3 linked regions of the Stegostoma tigrinum genome follow. The protein of the gene in region 1 purifies or fractionates together with the protein of each later gene. This does not show direct contact. Links are inferred from orthologs where the notes say so. Each region holds a gene or a part of one and is shown on either strand. Other genes may lie near its edges. The genes, in order: CD151 antigen, itga3b and integrin beta-1-like.

The links.
Region 2: the proteins of CD151 antigen (region 1) and itga3b purify together in Homo sapiens (co-immunoprecipitation; 4 studies listed by BioGRID and IntAct, with this or other methods). This does not show direct contact. The link is inferred for Stegostoma tigrinum from reciprocal best matches to the Homo sapiens genes CD151 and ITGA3.
Region 3: the proteins of CD151 antigen (region 1) and integrin beta-1-like purify together in Homo sapiens (affinity purification with western blotting; 4 studies listed by BioGRID and IntAct, with this or other methods). This does not show direct contact. The link is inferred for Stegostoma tigrinum from reciprocal best matches to the Homo sapiens genes CD151 and ITGB1.

What each region holds. Positions count from the first base shown.
Region 1 is NC_081370.1:8,979,085-8,986,784, reverse strand, and holds the start of CD151 antigen, read right to left. Parts: upstream 3,003-7,700; 5' UTR 2,810-3,002; intron 234-2,809; exon of another isoform or gene 1-233. UniProt on the Homo sapiens protein: Structural component of specialized membrane microdomains known as tetraspanin-enriched microdomains (TERMs), which act as platforms for receptor clustering and signaling.
Region 2 is NC_081384.1:21,968,784-21,976,302, reverse strand, and holds the start of itga3b (integrin alpha-3b), read left to right. Parts: upstream 1-4,413; 5' UTR 4,414-4,499; coding exon 4,500-4,684; intron 4,685-7,519.
Region 3 is NC_081355.1:128,708,211-128,715,742, reverse strand, and holds the start of integrin beta-1-like, read left to right. Parts: upstream 1-4,494; 5' UTR 4,495-4,748; intron 4,749-7,532.

The sequences.
Region 1 (7,700 bases):
GTAGCCTCTGCTCGCTGTTTCTGTTTCTCTCTCACACACACACACACACCCTCTCACTGTCCCAGCGGCTGTGCCCAGCTCCGGGGGCTGCCCTCCGACTCACTTCGCTTCAACTGCACTCGCCGAAAATGACAAAGCATCGATAAACCCGCCCCGTCTCAAACTGAGCCCTGCCTCATCCCGGAGCAACCCAGCCTGGCCCCAGGGCCACCCACACACGGGGTTGTGCCAGTGTCACTGCGTTCCCCTACCACCTAGTGGAAACAGAGAGCACCACAGTACAATACTCATGTAGCTGCATTCATATAGCACCGAGAGAAACCCAGCAATGTCAGGCTAGCCCCCAGGACACCCAGAGCATTCACACACAGAGGGAGAGCACAGGGCAATGCTACTGTAACTGCATTCATATGACATCTAGTGGATATGGAGACAGAGAGAAAGAGAGACACCATGTACTGTACTAATGTAACTGCATTCATCTAGCACCGAGTGAAACACAGCACTGTCAGGCCAATCCCAGCACACCTAGTGCATAGACACAGAGAGGGAGACCACAGGGCAGTACTAACATAACCACATTCCCTAGTGCCTAAGTGGATACACGCAGAGTGAAATAGAGACACCACACTACAATCCTAATGTAACTGCATTCATCTAGCACCTACAGAAACACAGTAAGCCAACCCCGGGACACCTAGTAAATACACAGAGAGAGATCACAGTGAAAAACACACACAGCTTCAGGTTTATTATTGTACTTTAAAGTAAGAAGCCAGCCCTCCTTATGGTTGCCATCTGAACAGGCCTAGAGAGCCAAGTGGTTGCATAGGAGTGCCACAGAAATAGCTGCCAGCCTCTGGACTGAGCAAAGAATACAGCCCTCAGAGGCCTCCAAACTGACCCTGAGAGGGGGGGACCCTGTAGCTGAATTAGCAGAGCTGTCCCACAGGCCAGTCAGCGGACATAGACTCATGGAATCTGACTTTACAATGTCCCACACCCTGCTATCAGCCAGCTTGATTTTAATTAATATATAAACAATATAAATGAGAAGGTGGGGAGACAATGATAAGAGAGGTTGGATAAGTTCAAGCTGTTTTCTTTAGAGCAGAGAAGGTTAAGAGGGAACCTGATTGGAGTGTATAAGTTTATGTGGAGCAAGGACAGGGTGTACAGAAAGCAGCTGTTCCCCTTAGTTGAAGGGTCAATAAAGGGGGCATAAGTTTAAAGTGAAAAGCAGGAGGTTTAGACAGGATTGTAAATAAAAATATTTTCACCCAGAAGGTGGAAGGGATCTGGAATGTACTGCCCAGGAGGGTAGTTGACGCAGAAACCTCACAACCTTTAAAAACCCAGCTATGCCTGCCTGTTTGTAGGTTATGTCAAACAGACGCTCATTAGAACATATACTAATATTGTTCCCGAACTCTTCCGCCATTACCTCGATGACTACGTTAGTGCTGCGTCCTGCACCCAGGCTGAACTGGAACAGGTTATAAACTTCACTAACAACTTCCACACCGACCTCAAATTCACTTGGTCTATCTCAGACACCCCCCTCCGTTTTTGTGACCTGTCCATTTCCATTTCTGGTGACAGTTTACGGACTGACACTTACTGTAAATCCACATATTCCCATAGCTACCTAGACTACACCTCCTCCCACCTTGTATCCTGCAAAAACCCAATTCCATTTTCCCAATTCCTCCGCCTCCATTACATCTGGTCTGATAAGAAAATGTTCCACTCCCAAGCATCCTGAATGTCTGCCTTTTCCAAACAATGCTCTTTTCCCACTTCTGTCATTCAGACGGCCCTCCACCGTGCCCTTTCCATTCTCTGCTCCACAGCTCTTAACCACCCACCAACAAAACATAATAAAGATAGCACCCTCCTTGTCCTCACTTTCCAATCCACCAGCATCTGCATCTAACGTATCATCCTCAAACACTTGCGCCAATTCCAATTAGACCCCACCGCCAGGAACATCTCCCACTCCCCACCCGTCTCTGCCTTCTGCAAGGACCATTCCCTTTGCCACTCCTTAGCTCATGCCACACTCCCTACCAACCACTCCGACCCACCCAGTATCTTTCCCTCTAACCATAAAAGATACAATATCTGCCCACACACCACCTCCCTCACCTATATTCAGGGCTGTGAACAGTCCTTCAAGTGAGACAGAACTTCACCTGCATCTTCTCCAACCTAGTCTATTACTTCTGATGATGCCAATGTGGTCTTCTTTACGTCAGTGTGACCAAACGTAGACTACATAACTGTTTCGCCGAACATCTTCGCCCGGCCCGTAACAGCCAACCTAACCTCCTAGTCATCTCCCATTTCAAACCCCACCACTGCACCCCCCCACCCACCACCCCCCTCCAACATGTCCATCCTCAGCCTTTTCCAGTGTCGCAGCGAACAAGAACACAAATTTGAAGAACAACACCTTATCTTCTGCCTGGGCACCCTACAGCCTGTAGGACTCAACATTGAGTTCTCCAAATTCAAATAACATTCCCAGCCACCCCCCCACCTCCCTTTCCAGACCCTTCCATTCCGCCTACTGACCCTCTCTTCCAGCCATCAACTGCATTCAACCCTCCCATCAACCAACCAGGTCATACCTGCCACCAGTGTCCACCTATCACCACCAATCTGTTAAAGCCCCCCCATTTATCTGCAGCTCCCCCTCCCCCCCCATATCCAGTCCTGAAGAAGGGTAATACCCAAAACCTTGGCAGCACTTTTCCTCCAGACGCTGGCTGGCCTGCTGTGTTCTCCCAGCTTCCCGTTTGCCTACCTTTAAAAAGTCCTCGGATGAGCATTTGAAATGTCATACTGTTCAAGGCTGTGGACCTAGTGCCGGAAAGTGGGAATAGCAAAGATAGGTTGATGCAGACATGAAGGGCTGAAGGGCCTCTCCTATGCTGTATGACTCAATGACCCTCCCCGGATCTGGCAGAAGTGTATAGTCCAGTTGGAAAGGAGACAGCGTTTGCACTTCTTACAAGTGTGTTGGACATAGCAAAATACTTGAGAGCCATGGGTGGGTTTTGGAAATGTCATCACTGTTGTAAGAAGCACAAGAGCCAGTCTGTACACGGCAACCTCTTCCCAGCAGCTGTGTGACAATATAGTAACATAGGAACAGGAGGAGGCCTGTTCTGCCATTCAATGAGATCATAGCCGATACATGGCCTCACTCTATATACCTGACTTCGGCCCATATCCCTTTGGTTAACGAAACTTCATCTATCACAGATGTAAAATTTTAGATTTTATCTACCAATAAATTTAAAATCATCAGCCAATAAAATCTGATCTGGAAGAAGAGTTCCAAATCTCTCCCACCCGTTTAGCGTAGAAGTGCTTCCTGACATCTCTCCTGAAAGGTCTGGCCCTAATTCTCAGACTATGTCCCCAGTTCTCGAATCACCAGCCAATGGAAAGAGTTTGCCTTTATCTCCCCTGTCCTTTTCAGTTAATATCTTGAAGACTTCAATCATATCACCCTTTTATCCTTCTAAATAGCAGAGAAAACATGCCCAATTTGCATAACTTCTCCTCATAACTTAACCCCTGAAGCCCAGGTGTGTTTCTTGTGAACCTACATTAGAAGATAGAACACTACAGCACAGTACAGGCCCTTCGGCCCTCGATGACATTGTACCCCCTCCAAGGACTATCTCTCCCTCCTAAGATGTGGTGCCCGTGTTTGCTCACAATACCCCAAGGGAGGGGGTCTATCCAGGTTTTTGTAAAACTACAGCCTTGTACTCCAGTCACAGAGCTATACAGCGTACAAACAGGCCCTTTGGCCCACAAATCATTATGCTGGTCCCAGTCATCTCGATATAAAGGCCAGTGTTCCATTTGCTTTCTTGATTATTGTCTGTTCATGACATTTTAAGATCCATGCACCTGAATCCCCAAGTCTCTTTGGACAGTCACTGTATTTAACTTCATACCATCCAGAGAGTACCGTCAACTATGCTTTCCTGCTCCTCTGTTGCTGCTTGGCCTGCTGTGTTCATCCAGCTCTAAAGCTTGTTATCACCCTCTAAACCCTTCCTATTCATATACCCATCCAGATGCCTTTTCAATGTTGTCATTGTACCAGCCTCCACCACGTCCTCTGGCAGTTCATTCCATACATGCACCACCCTCCTCATGAAAAAGCTACCACTCAGGCCCCTTTTAAATCTTTTCCCTCTCACCTTAAATCCATGTCCTTTTGTTTTGGACTCCCCTACCCTGGGGGAAAAGACCTTGGCTATTCACCTTGTCCATGCTCCTCATGATTTTATAAAACTCTATAAGGTCCCTGCTCAGCCTCCAACACTACAGGGAAAATAGCCCCTAGCATGACTGACTCTGTTTCCATTCTCAATTCCACAGGCTGTAGCCTGAAGGATTTAAACTGTTAGACTTTCGGGAATTATTCCAGATTCTTACTCACCACCCGGGAATTTCTGACTATTGTTCTCCAGTGTCTAAAATCAATGGGTGGGGAAATATTAGCTAAGTGGTTAAGGGAGGTATCACAGGAGGCAGGGGTGGGGGGCAAGGACTGCAGTTTGAAATGTGATAGAAATGATAGATGAATTGCTGCTACCAGGGGTTGCATTTTGAGAAGGAGCAAAAAGAGAGAAAGAACTTTCCCTGCCCATGGGGACAACAAAACCATGTTTCAGTGTGAGCTGTGTTGTTGTATGATTGAGTCTAGCTGGAACGCACAGGCTGTGGGAGGGAGATGCAGGCAGCTTTGTTACAAGCCCAGTACAGATCAAAACCCAATTTGTGAGAGGACCATTATTGTCCTTCACTCTGAGGAGACCAGTGGGTGGGCTAGGGAAATGATGTTTCACAAACAGAATACATTTTCCAGTGAAAAGAGGAAGGGATGAGGAAAGAAAGAGAGAAGAGGGCTGGGGAGAAGAGGGAAGGAAAAGGGAGAGAGAGAATGGAGACAGGAGGAAGAGGAGAGGAGAAAGGAAAGATAAAAGTGTGTAGCAGGGGAAGTCTGGGCGGTGAGGGAGGAGGAGAGACTGGAAGGGAGCCAGAGGGAGAAAAGATAGGGAAGATGGGAAGAAGAGGAGAGCAGGAGAAGAAAAGGAGGGAGGGGTGGGAGTGAGTGAGGGGCAAAAGCGAGCAGGATGTAACTATATATTGTTATACAGTAAATGACAGAACGCTTAGTAGGATCAATGTACAGAGGGATTAGGTGTACAGGTTCACAGGACCGTGAAAGAGGAAACACAAGTGGATAAAGTGGTCAATAAGGCATCTGGCATGCTTGCCTTCATCAGTCAGGGCATAGAGTATAAAAATTGGCAAGTCATGTTGTAGCTGTACAGAGCTTTAGTTCAGCCACATTTGGAATATTGTGTACAGTTCTGGTTGCTGCAGAAGGATAGATAGAATTTTCACAGAATCCCTACAGTGTGGAAACAGGCTCTTCAACCCAACAAGTCCACACTGACCCTCAGAGCATCCCACTCAGACCCATTCCCCCATAATGCACCTAATCTGCACATCCCTGAACACTACAGGCAATTTAGCATGGCCAATCCACCTAACCTGCACATTGTGGGAGGAAACTGGAGCACCCAGAGGAAACCAACGCAAATGCAAGGAGAATGTTCAAACTCCACACTGACAGTCGCCCGAGGGTGGAATCAAACCCAGGACCCTGATGCTGTGAGACATCAGTGTTAACCACTGAACCACCAGAAGTGGAGGATTTGGAGAGGGTACAGAAACAGGGTTTACCAGGATTGAGGGGTATAGATGACGGGAGATTGGAGAAACTTGGTTAGTTATCACTTGAACATCAAAGGATTAGTGGGCTGAAAGACGTTTACCAACTTACCAAGGGCATGGATAGTTGGAGTCTTTCTCCCAGGGTAGAAATGTCAATCACTAGGGAACCGAGATTTAAGGTAAAGAGGGGTAACTTTAAAGGGGATGTAAGAGGCAAGTTTAATTTTACACAGAGAGTGGTAGCTCCTTGGAATGTGCTGCTGGAGGAGTTGTTGGAGGTGGATACAATAGTAATGTTTAAGTGGTATCTTGACAGATATATGAATAGGCAGGGAATAGAGGGATATAGACACCATAGAGGCAAAAGGTTTTTAATTTGGAAACACATCATGTAACAGTGCAGTCTTGATGGGCCAAAGGGCCTGCTGCTGTACTGTACTGTTCTTTGTTCTTTGAGAAAGCCAGAGTATAAAAAGTGAGAGCACTTACAGGGATAATAAAATGTGAGGCTGGATGAACACAACAGGCCAAGCAGCATCTCAGGAGCACAAAAGCTGACGTTTCGGCCTAGACCCTTCATCAGAGAGGGGGATGGGGAGAGGGAACTGGAATAAATAGGGAGAGAGGGGGAGGCGGACCGAAGATGGAGAGTAAAGAAGATAGGTGGAGAGAGTATAGGTGGGGAGGTAGGGAGGGGATAGGTCAGTCCAGGGAAGACGGACAGGTCAAGGAGGTGGGATGAGGTTAGTAGGTAGATGGGGGTGCGGCTTGGGGTGGGAGGAAGGGATGGGTGAGAGGAAGAACCGGTTAGGGAGGCAGAGACAGGTTGGACTGGTTTTGGGATGCAGTGGGTGGGGGGGAAGAGCTGGGCTGGTTGTGTGGTGCAGTGGGGGGAGGGGACGAACTGGGCTGGTTTAGGGATGCAGTAGGGGAAGGGGAGATTTTGAAACTGGTGAAATCCACATTGATACCATTAGGCTGCAGGGTTCCCAGGCGGAATGTGAGTTGCTGCTCCTGCAACCTTCGGGTGGCATCATTGTGGCACTGCAGGAGGCCCATGATGGACATGTCATCTACAGAATGGGAGGGGGAGTGGAAATGGTTTGCGACTGGGAGGTGCAGTTGTTTGTTGCGAACTGAGCGGAGGTGTTCTGCAAAGAGGAGGCAATGTGAGTCTCTCCCCAATCTACCTGCTGTTTCAGGTGAACCTTTGAAAGGTCTGAGATGAAAATGTAATTTAATTAAGTGAGATTTAGTATCAAATTTAAAGAAAAAAAATAAAAACATAGATGTTGCAAAGATTAGACAGAGAATTGTGAAATGTTTAAAAGTCATCAAAAGATGACCAAAATATTAAAAAAAGGAGAGAACATATTTTGAGTATAAATATCAAAATGGATAATAAAAGTTTCTTTAAACATATTTAAAAGGAAAGGCTAAAGAGAACATGGGGAGAATGAGGCTAGGGCAATAATAATGGGGTACCAGGAAATAGCAGAGGAATTTAAAAAATATTTTTCATCAGACTTTACAGTGGAGGAGGACATAAATAGTATTCCAAAAATACAGAATAATCAATAGGCAAAAGGAGGAAATGAACTAATTGCAGTAACTCAGCAGAGAAAAAATTGTTAGGGAAACTTATGGTGCTAAAGACTGATAAGTCCCTTGGACTGATGGGTTACATCTGAAGATATTAAAATAAGTAGCTTCAGATATAGTGGATGCATTGGTTCAGGATTCTTTAAATTCTGGAAAAGTCCCAGAGGATTGGAAAACTGCTCATGTAACATGTTTGTTCAAAAGGGAAGGGAGACAGAAAACATCTAACAAAGCCTAATTTGCTTAGCATCTGTTATTGGAAAAATGTTACAGTCTATTATAAAGGATTTAATTGCAGAGCATTTAGAAATATATACTACGATCTA
Region 2 (7,519 bases), on another chromosome or scaffold:
AATTACACAGGTTCACCTGGATATGCTCCCCTATTGAAGTTGCCCATCTAGTCTTGTTAGAATGTTTTAGGTTTCTGTGAGATCCTCTGTCACTCTTCTAAACTCCAGAGAATATAGTCCTAATCGATCCATTTCTCTACGATTCCATGCTTATTCTCAGCAACTGGTGTTTTGTTGTAGCCCCCTCTTTCCCAATCTATCACCATCCAGACCATAGCCTGCCTTTCTGTTTTTGCTATCAAAGTGGATAACATCATGTTTGTCGACATTATATTTAATCTGCCATCAATAGATCTGCCATCTATTTGCCTACTCATTCAACTTGTCTAAATCACACTGAAGCATTTCTACATCCTCCTCACAGCTCACCCACCCAGTTTTGTGTCACTTGCAAACTTGGAGATGTTGCATTTAGTTTGCTCATCCAGTGATTGATTTTTTTTATTCTGAATAGGTAGGGTCCAAGCACAGGTCTCTATGGTGCCCCGCCAGCCATTGGCTGCCATAAGAAGAAGATCCATTTATTCCTACTGTTTGTTTCCTGACGGTTCTTTATCCATGTCAGTACATTTCTCTCATTTCCATGCACTTCAGTTTTGTATGCTGATCTCTTATTTGGGACCCTATTGAAAGCTTTTGAAAAGTCCAAGTAAACCACAACCATTTCAGGATGGAAAATAAATGTTCATGTTATTGGTGCTTTTCATGACCCCAAGATATTTCAATGTGCTTTCCTGCCAATAAAGCACTTTTGAAAGAATCACAGGAGACAATTCCAACAGCTATTTTTTGAGATGAACATAAATTACACGAAATCTTCATGGAAGATTGAGGAAAAGATCATCTTCATTGCCACCTCTTGCTGTACCCATACTTCAATGCAGTTTCCATCTGAAACTTAATTTGCAATTAAAATTGTGAAAATAGTTTGCACTTCCAGTTTGGAATTTGGCTGCTGATAATATGTTCACAATTATATGATTGCACCAGTTTTAAACCTACCCTTAAGATGAGGTTGTATTTAACATTATAGTTCAATTAAAAAAATCTGCAAGTGCTGAAGATCTGAAACAAAACAAAAATTGCTGCAGAAACTCAGCACGTTTGGTAGCATCTGCAGAGATAGGAACAGAATAATTGTTTGGAGTCCAGTGACATTTCTTCCGCATGTATTATATTTACCATTGACTTGCCTTTATTGGTCAGTGCATTAAGTAGAGGAGTTGGGAGATCATGTTGCGGGCGTACTGGGCATTGGTTATGCTACTTTTGGAATATTGTGTTCAGTTACGGTCTCCCTGCTGTAGAAAGGATGTTGTGAATCTTGAAAGGGTTCAAAAAAGATTTAAAAGGATGTTGCCAGGGTTGAAGGCCTTGAGCTATAGGGAGATGCTGAATAGGCTGGGGCTAATTTCCCTGGAGCGTCGAAGGCTAAGGGGTGATTTTATAGAAGTTTATAAAATCATGAGGGGTATGGATAGAGTGATTAGCCAAGATCTAGATCTAGATCCAAGAGCAGAGCCTAACGGGGAAGACAGTAGACCAACAATGGCAGGAGTTTCTGGGTGTAATTGAGGACGCAGTACAGAGGTTCATCCCAAAGAAAAGAAAGATTATCCGGGGTGGGATTAGACAGCCATGGCTGACAAAGGAAGTCAGGAAATATATCAAAGAAAAAGAGACAGCCTATAAAGTGGCCAAGTGCACTGGGAAATCAGAATATTGGGAAGGCCTCAAAAACAGACAGAGGGTAACAAAGAGAGCAATAAGGAAGGAGAAGATCAAATATGAAGGTAGGTTAGCTAGTAATATTAGAAATGATAGTAAAAGCTTCTTTCAATACATAAGAAACAAACGAGAGGCAAAAGTAGATATTGGGCCGCTCCAAATTGATGCTGGAAGGGTAGTGATGGGAGATAAGGAAATAGCTGAAGAACTTAATAAGTACTTTGCGTCAGTCTTCACAGTGGAAGACATGAGTAGTATGCCAACAATTAGGGAGAGCCAGGGGGCAGAGTTGAGTATGGTAGGCATTACAAAAGAGAAAGTGCTAGAAAAGCTAAAGGGTTTAAAAATTGATAAATCTCCTGGCCCCAATGGGCTACATCCTAGAGTTCTGAGGGAGGTGGCTGAGGAAATAGCGGAGGCTTTGGTCGTGATCTTTCAAAAGTCACTGGAGTCAGGGAAAGTCCCAGATGATTGGAAAATTGCTGTTGTAACTCCCTTGTTTAGGAAAAAATCAAGGCAAAAGAAGGAAAATTATAGGCCGATTAGCTGAACCTCAGATTAAAACAAGTCAGCATGGTTTTAGTAAGGGAAGGTCGTGCCTGACAAACCTGTTAGAATTCTTTGAAGAGGTAACAAGTATGTTAGACCAGGGAAACCCAGTAGATGTTATGTATCCAGACTTCCAAAAGGCCTTTGATACAGTGCCTCACGGGAGGCTGCTGAGCAAGGTGAGGGCCCATGGTGTTCGAGGTGAGCTACTGGCTTGGATTGAGGATTGGCTGTCTGACAGAAGGCAGAGATTTGGGATAAAAGGCTCTTTTACGGAATGGCAACCGGTGACGAGTGGTGTCCCGCAGGGTTCAGTGTTAGGGCCACAGCTGTTCACCTTATGTATTAATGATCTGGATGAAGGGACTGGGTGCATTCAGGCGAAGTTTGCTGATGATACGAAGATAGGTGAACAGGCAGGTAGTACTGAGGAGGTGGGGAAGCTGCAGAAAGATTTGGACAGTTTAGGAGAGTGGTCCAGGAAATAGCTGATGAAATTCAATGTGAGTAAATGTGAGGTTTTGCACTTTGGAAAAAAGAGTACAGGAATAGACTATTTTCCAAACGGTGAGAAAATTCGCAAATCAGAAGTGCAAAGGGATCTGGGAGTGTTGGTCCAGGATTCTCTAAAGGTTAACTTGCAGGTAGAGTCCGTAATTAAGAAAGCGAATGTAATGTTATCATTTATCTCAAGCGGGTTGGAATATAAAAGCAGCGATGTGCTTCTGAAGCTTTATAAGGCTCTAGTTAGGCCCCATTTAGAATACTGTGTCCAATTTTGGGCCCACACCTCAGGAAGGACATACTAGCCCTGGAGCATGTCCAGTGGAGATTCACACGGATGATGCCTGGAACGGTAGGTTTAATGTATGGTGAACGGCTAAGGATCCTGGGATTGTACTCATTAGAGTTTAGAAGGTTGAGGGGAGATCTAATAGAAACTTACAAGATAATGCATGGTTTAGAAGGGGTGGACGCTAGGAAGTTGTTTCCATTAGGTGGGCAGACTAGGACCCATGGGCACAGCCTTAAAATTAGAGGGGGTAAATATAAAACTGAAATGAGGCGACATTTCTTCCGCCAGAGAGTGGTGGGCTTGTGGAATTCATTGCCGCAGAGTGCAGTGGAGGCCGGGATGTAGGATGCCTTCAAGGCAGAGATCGACAAATTCTTGATCTCAGAGAGAGTCAAGGACTACGGGGAGAGTGCAGGGAAGTGGTGTTGAAATGCCCATCAGCCATGATTTAAATGGCGGAGTAGACTTGATGGGTCGAATGGCCTTACTTCCACTCCCATGTCTTATAGTCTTATGGTCTTATCTTTTCCCAATGGTGGAGGAGTGCAGGCCAGAGGTCATAGGGTTAAGGTGAGAGGAGAAAGGTTTGAAAGTGACCAAACGGGCAACTTTTCACACAGAAGGTAGTGTGTGTATAGAATGAGCTGCTGGAAGAAGTGGTGGAGGCTGGTACAATTAAAACATTTAAAAGGCATCTGGATGGGTATACGAATAGGAAAAGTTTCATGGGATATGGGTCAAATGCTGGCAAATGGGTCTAGATTAATTTAGGATATCTGGTCAGCGTGGACAAACCGGACTGGAGTGTCTGTTTCAATGGTGTAGAGCCGTATGATTCTATAATGGGAATTCTCAGCAGGTCTGGCAGAATCTGGGGAGAGAACGCAGAATTAACATTGCTTGTGTTCTGAAGAAGGGCCATTGGGCCTGAAATACAAAATCTACTTTCCAACGACAGAAGCTGCCAGACCTGTTGAGTTTTCCCAACAATTTCTATTTGTGTTTCTAATTTCCAGCATCCACAATTTTTTAATATACATATTTATCATTAGTTCATTTAACCTCGTTTGTGGTTCCTCTGCTCATGGCATCAAATTGCCAATTAACTAGTGGGACCCACAACCTGAATTTGAAATCATAATAGTCCAAGTAACTCGAGAATGGAGGCAATCATTTGATATAATTAATCCTTTCCTGGGTTTTCCCCAGGGTGAATTAAAACAAAACTGTACATCAATAGTGAGGTTTTGGAATGACATTGCCGTTTTAAGGTCTGCAAAGTGCTGAGTCGATCTGATTGAGTCGGGAAGGAAAGCCTCATCTATGCGCAGGTTTGAAGGGCAGGCGTGTACAGTGCTAGAGGGTGTGGAGAGAGACTGGGTACTTGCAGTATCACCGTGTAACTCAGACCGCCTTTGAAATCGACATGGCGCCTTATACAGCTCCTCAGTTTCAGCCCGGGCTATACCTTCTCCTATCAACCGCGGTGGCGGTCTCTTCTGCTTTTAACATCGATGTGAAGTTCCCGATCATTAAACAGGGACCACCCGGCAGCTACTTCGGATATTCGGTGGCGTTACACCGACAACTGAAAGATCAGGATCGCTACCTGTAAGTGCATTATGGATCAGGAATGAGAGAGAGAGGGAGGGAGCGGTGTGTGTGTGTGTGTGTGTGTGTGCGCGCTGGTGGCTGGCGAGGGACGGTGGGTTGCTTAGGAATTGTACCGGTGGTAGTAGTTTGTAAGTACAGGTGAAATGCTGTAAAATGGGATCGACTTTTAAAACCCGAGAACTGTTGATTGAACTTTTTAAAAAAAGAAAAAAAAGGAATGTTACTGGCTTAGTTTTAACGTTCGTTATGAAGTAGTTTTACAAATTCACATCCTTATTTGCAGCAGTTTCTATTGGAGTATTTTTAAAATCCTCTCAGTATACTACACTTCTAATACATATATACTTATATGAATGTGAGTTCCCTTCTAAACGAATAGCCTATCTTCCTGAGCCATAAACTTGATTTTTCAGCGGCTTTAACTCAGCGGGTGCTGGTCTGTTGCAAATTCTGTGCAAAGTTTAGGGAATGGAAACTTTTCAGACCGGTTGAGGCGCGGCGACGCTGGCAGATAGCTCAGAGAGCGTGAGACAGTGTACTGATTGTCATAGTCTCTTCCTGAAGCGTTATCTCCAAGTATCCCCACACCTTGTGTGTGAGTCCGGGACAACCCAGATCGCCGGCAGAAACACAATATCAATCGCTTTGCGTTTTGTTTTCTCGATTTGCCTTGCATTTCGGTGAGGAGACACCGTAAGGACTTTCTCAAATGGAGTGTGCAGTGGGAGTAGGTTGCTGACCGCTTTACGTCATGAACTGAGGATAGTGTGGAGTTGTTTCTGAATGGGGTGGGATATGGGTTTAATATACATCGCTTCCAGCAATTCTTCGGTGCGAGTGTTCCCAGTTTGAGACTTTCCCCCTGTGTCTCTGTGTGCTATGTTTGTGGAGGTGCGTTTAGACGCTCGAAGTAGTTCACTCATCTGAAACAGAAATAGAAATTGCTGGAGAAATTCAGTAGGTCTGTGCAGAGAGGGAGAGGGAGAGAAACAGTTCAATTTCCGAGTCCAGTGATAGGTCTTCGTTAGATCACAAATCTGTCCTGTCCCCGGATCGATCTGCGTGTTCTTTTGTATTCAGGTTTTCGCGGTGGAGATGGTTGGCGATGTGGTTTTAGGAGCAAGTGACCGGTGTGCTCGGGACACCTGTAATCGCAAAGTGAATGTGTTTTGTGGCTGTGCAAACTCCGGAATCACAGGGGCTCCCAAGCCCATCATCCTGTGCCTTGGGGAGTGGGAAACTTGGCTTGTTTGTCTAAGCTGAGTGCTGCTTTAATAGAAGGATAAAGGACTTATCAGCAAGACATTCCTTTCGCGGATTTGTGGGCTGGGGGAAGGGTAGCACTGCATATTTCCTTTTGCAGACACAAATTGTTGAACGTGAGACCCAGGCTTTCCCCCTCAGAGTTCACTGATCTACCTGGGGCTCCCGTGGAGACTTTAGAATTTTGTTTTCGTCTTGCATGCGTTTGTTGTAGTAGATTTCGAGAAACGTAAACTTGGGATTGGAATGGCATGTTGCTTTACAGACTGTTGCCTCACCCCTCTGCTTAATCACCCTAACGATCTGAAAAAAAAACGCATTGATCCAATTTGCTCAGTGAATCATTCACTCAGATCTGACCAGCCACACTTTCGCCAACTGCATTTATGCAGGGCTGACATTCAAGTAAAGAGTTGGGAAGTGTTTTGCCCGACCATTTTTCCGCATGGTTTGAACACAGAACTGACTTTCTCTCCTCAACTTTCGTTCCCCTTTCTTTTCTGGATGTTCTCCGCTAAACCGTGTTACCCAGTGCCACCTAATGTTTCACTGAAATGGTTGTACGCACACAGAAACTTGGATAATATCGAGCTAAGTTGATCTCCAATCCGCCTTTCATCTCATCGTTACACTGGTACATAAAGAATTTGAAACCTCCTTGTATTGCCCCCGCCTTAAAAGGGAGACCTTGAAGCAACTCCAGCTGAGAATAGGTAAACTTTGTACTGTGGTCAGGAATTCACCCTGGGGCCCTCTGCCTGTCTGCCTCAGACACCGAGGGGAACCTTGCTATTCCAATGAGAAAGGGAATGAGGGACTATGGGAAAAGGCAGAAAAGTGGAATTGAAGATTATCAGACCTGCCATGATCTCAGTGGCACAGCAGACTTGATGGGCTGAATGTTCTTTTTCAGCCCTTTGCACATTTTAGTTTTGAAAATTGTGCTACTTTTTAAAATGAGAAGTTGCCAATGCAGAATGATGAAACTGCTGTTTGGTTGCTCAGAAAATTTTGCAGATCTACAAATAAACTGTTTTAAAACAAAGAACAGCGAATACTGGAGATCTGAAACAAACAGGAACCGAAATTGCTGGAGGAACCCAACAGGTTTGGAAAGAAAACAGAGTTACCATCTTAAGCTTTGTGCCTTTTCTAATAAATTGCTTTTCCAGATGATGATTTTTCTGTCTGACCATCTGATTACTGACAGAATTCAGATATGTATCTTTTACCAAGTAGATACACATGATTAAAAATGACTGTAGCCTTTTCTCCAATTTTTACTTGTCCTACAGGCAGTGATTCACAGTGGATTCTGATTACTTGCTGATGGCTACCTGTCACTACTTCATCATTCCACAGACCATTCTTTGCACATAATTTCATCAGGGAGTGGCAACAGGTTATTCGATTATGGAAAATGTCACAGTCAAGTATGTCACTGACTTCAACTGACTTCCTTGCAGGCATACTTTCCAACAAGAGAATGCAGATTCTTTCCCCCAGGCACAGTACTGTCCTTTTATTTTGTAGTGAAGAAATGCAGATGTGGCTGCTTTTTTGCACACC
Region 3 (7,532 bases), on another chromosome or scaffold:
TACATGATCCAAATACAGACCTTAGTGCAGACAAGTTGCATCTAGGGTCATAGGATTAACTGTGAAAATGAAACAGCATCTACCTTCCCATATGAATATAAAAACTGATGGTAGTACTTGATGATTAACAGGTGTTCTCCCCAGTGTCCCGGTCAGGATTTATCCCTCGGGCAACGTGACTTAACTAGATTATATTGTCATTTTTTAAAATTCAATTCCTGAGACATTGCCATGCTCAATTTTGACTGTAGTATTCCCCCACAAGTTGACAAAGATTATAAACCAATGGGCCTTCATTTCTGCAACATTGTTAGGATGTAAAACACATTGAGTACATTAAAGTTCTCTTTTCCTTTGATTCTTAAGTGAATATTAGCAAAGACAATATGTTTATCAAAGCCTATTTTCATGGGCCAGCTCCAATCTCATCCTATTGAAGTTCTTTCACTTCATTCCAAACTATTGCCTTTACTTGTGGCACTTCCAATTGTGATCACAATGTAAGCAATCAAGAGTGGTCTTGCTGGATCACTGCCCCCTTCCTAACCTGGTGGAATCAAGTATGAAGCATGAGGAATATTTTAGCATTCAAACTACTGCCACCTAAGATCAGCTTAATAGAGATGTAGGGAGTGGAGTGAATGATGTAAATGTTAAAGGAAGTTACCTGTGGAAACTTGCAAAAAGCAATAAATCATTATGATTCTGAGCACTTTACTTTTCATTTAAAGTCTGATTTTAACTGTTCATGACACTTAAGATCCTGGAGAATACCGCACTCTGAAGGCAGTTGGTTGGATAATTGAGGAATTTGGATTATTGTTTCAAATATAAATTGATGATGCAATTGTGCTTAGACATGCCAGTGGAAAAAACACTAAGGAAGGACCGAGTTTATTTGTGGTATTTTTCACTCAAATACTGGCTATTTCACATATTAAACAAACTCTTAATAAGCAGTGTTGTCTCCATAAAGAAAATCTTTGAGAAAGTAAGAGGTATTGGAGTGTTTCACCTTTTGAGATTCCTGAGAACAGTGCATGAGTTACATATTGAATGCAAGGAGTGTTCTAATCAACGTGCTTTTGGTAATCTAACTGTGAGTGAAGGGAATTCCAGTGTTGCAAGTTTAGTTCTACAGAATCCATTAATAAAACTAGCTGATCACCTGTTATTGGCATTGTCCAGTAGTATAGCCTGGCTTACTCAAATCATATTACCAGTTTGTGGCGGGGGGGGGGGGGGAATTAATCTGCATTTTAATGTTCCGGAGCCAAATGGCTCCTATCAGTTAAGCTTTGCTCGACACAGATGATCTTCAATTTTTTTACTGTTATTGTTTTTACTTTGTCATTTTACCTGTTAGTGCCATCTGTTCCTTTTTATATGTTACTTGTGGCTGGCATATAAGAAGCTTCCATCTACAATTCTCATGAAAAGCACGCTTTACTTCTGGATGCACTAGTATGCTTGTATTTATCAAGCTGAGGCATTTTCATTGGCTTGGGCAATTCACAAGAAGGAAGATAGCCACATTTTTGTGTTCTGAGAGAACTGGAGACTGATGAGACACCCAATGTTCCACTTCAAAGGTACTTGCCAGTGTTACATAATTCTGGCTAAACACTGATTCTGGCAGATACTATCTGATGGCAGAGAATAGTGTAAACACCTTGGCAAGAGGTGCTAACATTAAAAATAACAACCCACAAGGATATGTGACAACACTTTTTTGTCGTGCAGTATGTGAGGACAAACCTGACACTCATTTGCTGCTTTAAGAAAGAAATCTGAGTATTGTACGAAGCTATTCCCAAATCCAAAGGATTTCCTTTGCTCTATGTCCATCATTTTACAGACTGAAGATTTCTGACAGGTTAACTGCCAAATATATATGACAAGTACAAAAGAGAATTGAAAGGCTTCCATCCTTCCGTAGCTCAGGTTTATTTCAATTAGTGAGCACTAATGATATAAACAGAGTTGTCAACACTGGTTTGACACATTACAACATGATCTCATGCTTCCAATTGACCTAATCCATATTTGTGGCTTCAGTTGTCTACTATTCTCATCCACATGATGTTCACTTTTTAATTGATGTGGGAAGGCAGAGCAAACAATTTATTGGCTTATTGAATGATTCTTGACTGCCAGTTAGCCTTTTTCCCATCCCTAATATTCATGGTTACACTTCTTCAACAATTTTAGGGCTGAACAGTAACAAATGGAATTTAATCCTGCAAAGTGGGAGGCGGGGGGGGGGGGGAAAGGCAAGGGAATACATGTTGAACGGTAGGATCCTAGGAAGTATAGAGGATCAGAGGGACCTTGCTGTGCATGTCCATAGATTTTCGAAGGCGGGTGAATAGGATGTTTACAAAGGGATATGAGATACATGCTTTCATTCATCAAGGCGTTGCATACTCAAGCAAGGAGGTTACAATGGAGCTACATATGTTAGTTAGACCACAGCTGGAGTACTGTGGGCAGTTATGGCTGTCAAAATATAGGAAGGATGTGATTGCACTATAGAGAGTGTAAAAGAGGTTCACTAGTCTGGGCTGAAGTGATTATCTGTAAAGAGAGACTATATAGACTGACAGCATTTTCTCTAGAGCAGAAAAGGCTATTAGGAGGACTCTGAGGTGCACAACGTTCTGAGGGGCAGAGACAGGGTAGATACGGAAAAGCATTTCTCCTTAACGTAGGGGTCAATAACTGGGCAGTACAGGTTTAAGGTAAGGAGCAGGAGGTTTAAAGGGGATTTGAAGGAAAATATTTTCTTTGAAAGAATGTGGGCATTTGAAACTCACTGCCTGAAATGTAAAAACATTGAAAATAGCTGAAGTAGGTCATTTTGGCCCTTCGACACTGCTCCACCATTCAACATGATCATGGCTGATTATCCAACTCAGTACGTGGTTCCTGCATTCTCCCCATACCCTTTGATCCCTTTAGTACTAAGAACTATAACTTAACTCCTTAAACATTCAACCACTTTCTGGGGCAGAGAACTCTGGATGAAAATATTTCTGCTCAACTCTAAATGACCTATCCCATACCCTTGAATAGCAATCTATAGTTTGCAACTACCCAGGCATCGGAAACATCCTTCATGCATATATTCTGTCCAGTCATGTAGGAATTCATAGGCTCCTGTGAGACACCCGCTCCCCTTAATTCTTATAAATGCCAGTGAATATAGCCCTAGGTGATCCAGTTTTTATTTGTCAGCCCTGCCATCCCAGCAATCTATCTGGTAAACCTTTATTGCACTCCCTCCATAATAGCCAGAAAATACTTCTTCAGATAAGGAAATCAAAACTGACCACAATACACCAGATCTGGTTTCATCGCAACCCTACACGATGCAGCAAGACATCCCCTGCTCCTATACTCCAATCCTCTTGCTGTGGAGGCCAACATACCATTTGCCACCATTGCTGACTGCTGGACCTCCAATGGTCACTTTTCATTGACTGATGTGCAAAGACATCCAGGCCTTGTTGCACCACCCCATTTTCCAAACTACCATTATTCAAGTTATAATTCAACTTTTTTGTTTTTGTTCCCAAAATGGATAACCTTATGTATTCACATTATACTTCAGCTGTCATGTATTTGCTCACTCTCACAACTTGTACAAGTCACACTTAATTTGTGGTAGAGGCAGGAACTAGACAGATAGGAACTACTTAAGTAAGTTCTGGAAACACCATGTTTTGTTGTAAGGGTCTCCTTCCCTGCTGTAAAAGCTCTTATCAACGTTTCCTAAATCAATAATCTCCACCATTTAGAACATGGGCAGCAGTTGGGGACACTGTCACGTTCAAGTTCCCCTTCATATCAGATAGCTTGCTGATATGCACTGATTTCTGCATGATCTCTCGGTCAAAATCCTTGAACTTCCTATCAAAAACAGCATTTATAGAAACACACTCACCACACGGCCTTCGAGATTTTAAGAAGGTAGTTCACCTTCTCAAGAAACAGAAAACTAAGGTTGGCCTTGCCAGCTCTGCCCGCGCCCTGTGGGTGAATTTTAAAAGTCTCCAAGTTAAATGAAACAAGCAAAACGTTATTTTTGTAGTCTTTCAGAGATTTTATTTTCTTCCTTGTAGTGTTGAACGGGGTGTTCTCTGATGGACCTGAGCTGAATAGTTGAGGGGGAAAAAGTTGTAGCTTTGCCAGTCCCAGATGCCATCCAAAGTGCAGATCAGTGAAGCGGTCTTGGGTCACCCTTCCACTGCAGAACACCACCGCGCAATGACATCACCCTTCATTCACCGCCACGCCCACGCAATGACGTCTACAGTCTGGAATGGGTTTCCGGGGCGGGGCGGCAGCGTCCCTCGGCTGAATTCGGAGCCATTCGGCAACACCGCTCGCCTGAGCTTGGAAGGATTCGGCACCGCGCATCTGACCTTAGGAATCATTCGGCGGTCCTGTTCGGCTGAGCTCGGAGGAGGAGCCAGTGTCGCGGGGGGGAGGGAGGGAGAGAGGGGGAAAAAAAGAGTGAAGAGAGACAAGGGAGCCGCCGCCACCGCTGGACGGAGCGACGTCCCGGAGAAAAGAAACGGAGCCTGGGCTTGAGGTGGAGGCTTAAAGAAAAAGAAAACCCGAAGATCAAGTGCTATTTGAAGCGTTAAAAGGAGGGAACGTCTGCAAAGCACAACTGCCGCCGGGGCCAGAATAAATCTTAACGGCTGTAAATATCCTTAGTCTGAGAGACTTTTGTGTTAAAGGTAAGCGGGACGGCCCGGAGATAAGCTTAAATAGAAAAGCCGGTGGGAGTCTGGCTGCTCTTCACCGTCTTGTGTGTGCCCCCAGCCCCTGAGTTTGGGCGAGGGAGGTAGAGGTATCCTCAGAAGATTCTCTTTTTTTTCTTTTCCTATCTCCAGCCGCAAAAAGGGCAGGAATGTAATACATGTCCTATTTTTGGGTGGGGATACAGGCAGCTATTTTAAATATATATCTCTTTTTCACACACATGCTCAGACACGGAGGGCCGGGGTGATAAATCTCCGAGTGCTGTCGAGTCCAGTTTACTACTGGAACTCGGGAGGCAACTGTTTCGTGGACATTTTTGGTATTCAGAATTTGGGCATTTCTTGTCGGCCAGATTGAGCCTTCACACACTGTCTCCTCCCCACACGCGCAAAAAAAAGCTCAGTGCCATGTAGAGGTGGTTTTATTTTAGCTTTGATTTGTAATCTCGATCTGTACTTTCAGATACATAAACATTGAATGTTCTTAGTGGCACCTAAACAACCAGAGTTTGTTCTGAACAATGCTGCATACCTATCTTTTTTTGTAAGTGCCCTTAGGGCGTGTATATTGTTTTGCCTCGTCTTTTGTCTGAAAGTCATAGCAAAATGACTGCCGTTTGACTGCCTTTTATTAATCATCTCCGCATTAAGTAGTTGAAAAAAAGTCGAACTTTGGACAGTTTTAGGGACATTGTGTTTCACTATCTTAAAGAACCTAATGTGTGGAGATGCTTAAAAATGATAAAACAATAGGCGTTTTTAGGCTTTGTGCTGTGCAATTGATGGACTGCGACCTATTTATATTTCATATTCGCATATGTACAAATAAGGAAATAAGATTTAGCAAAGTTTTGTTTCTGTATTAATGAGGAAGACTAATTTTATTCCAGTTTTAAAGATTTATTTGTGTTTAGAGAAGTGTGAATCTACTTTCCAAAGTGGATCAGAAAACTTAAGGATTCAGTTTTACTATTGACTTTCCATCCATAAACTTAGTTTAGGTTTCTTAGAATTTAACCCAATAAAATATATCACAAGTTTTGTAAAACATTGCCTGATTCTACAGATGCTATTGCTTTTAGCTACCTTATGTACTGTACTGTACATTGACGAATGATGGTTGCTAGATTGAAGCTATGAAAAAAGTACTAGAATTACTGCATCATCTCTTCAATTAATTGATCTTGGCTGAAATGATGGTAAGAACAGTAGTACTGATTTTGTGACAAATAGAATTCTGGAGAAACTCAGCAGGTGTGGTACAACTTAGTTTCTCCAGCTCTGTGTATTTTCGATGTAATGCTCAAGCCTGACTCTCAACTCCTGACTAATCCCAACAGGAGATCAATGAGTGAATGACTAACTATTTTTTTCCTTTAGTATCATGGAGTCAATACTCCATTCTGAAGAGGAGTCGTACTGGACTCACCATTAACTTTGTTTCTCAGCCAATATTGCCAGATCTGCTGAGTTTCTCCTGCATTCTTTGTATTTGTTCCAAATTTCCAGCATCTGCAGTATTTTTAATTTTGTTTAGGTGTTGTGTTTCCCTTTTTATTGATGAACTTACTACAGCTCACCATCTCAACTTGTATATGAGTAGTCAGTTAGGGCCACGTGCCATAAGTGAAACAGTCTTTGCATCACAAGTCAATATAAGAGAAATAAAAATGCGTGGATCAGCCGGCATCCACCTAAATACCAGAAAAGACCATGGCAAGAACAGCCCTGTCAACCATGCAAAGCCTTTCTTACTAACGTGCAGGTTTGTGCCAAAATTGAGAGTTAACCCATGGACTAGTTGAGCAATACTCTTGGTCATACTCGTGGAATTGAGTCTGATACCAGGATATCTTGGACCTGGTATCCAAGGTCTCGGATACCAGTGCACGACCACTGGATATGTCCTGTCCCACTGGCAGGACAGGCCCCTCACAGATGATGGTATACAATGGGGCTAGTTTTTTCTTGGGAGTCAACATCGGCCATGAACCCAACAAAGTCTCATTGCATCAGGTCCAACAGAAACGAGGAAATCACCTGCTGATTGCCATCTATTGACCCCTCAGCTGATTGCTCTGCACTTCATGTTGAACACCAATGAAAAGGACATACTCTGGGCCAGAAACTTCAATATCCATCACCAACAGTTTTTTAGTAGTGCCACTACTGAATGAACTGGTTGAGTTCAAAAGGAGAGAGCTGCTAGAATGGATTTGCTGCAGGTCGTGCGGGAACCAACAGAAAGGAACAACCAATCCAGTTTTAAAGGTAGGCGTGGGACTCCTAAAGGATGCATCTGTGGAATTGATAACAGAATGGGGAAATGACACATAGTTTAAACTAATATTTTACATTGCTGTTCACAAAGGAGGACACAGTAAAAATCCCAAAGGCAATAGATAAGCAAGGTACTAATGGAGAGAAAGATCTTGTTAAGTTTCTTTCACAAAATTTTGAGGTATTTGGCAAACTCAAAGGACTGAAGGCGGACGTGTTCCTAGGACCCGATGATTTGTGACTTGTGTCAGAGGTTTTAAGTGGACACATGGTTGAAATATTCCAGAACTCAGTGGATTGGCGAAGGGTTTCAGTGGCTTGCTAGTATGTTGCCACATTCAACAAAGGAACAAGACAGAAAGCAGGAACTGTAGGCCCCTTGGTCTAACATCTGTCATTGGGTAAATGCTAGCAACTCCACAATGAGTGGATCAAATCTAATCTCTGCAGTTCTGCCACATCCAAATGTGAATGGTTGTT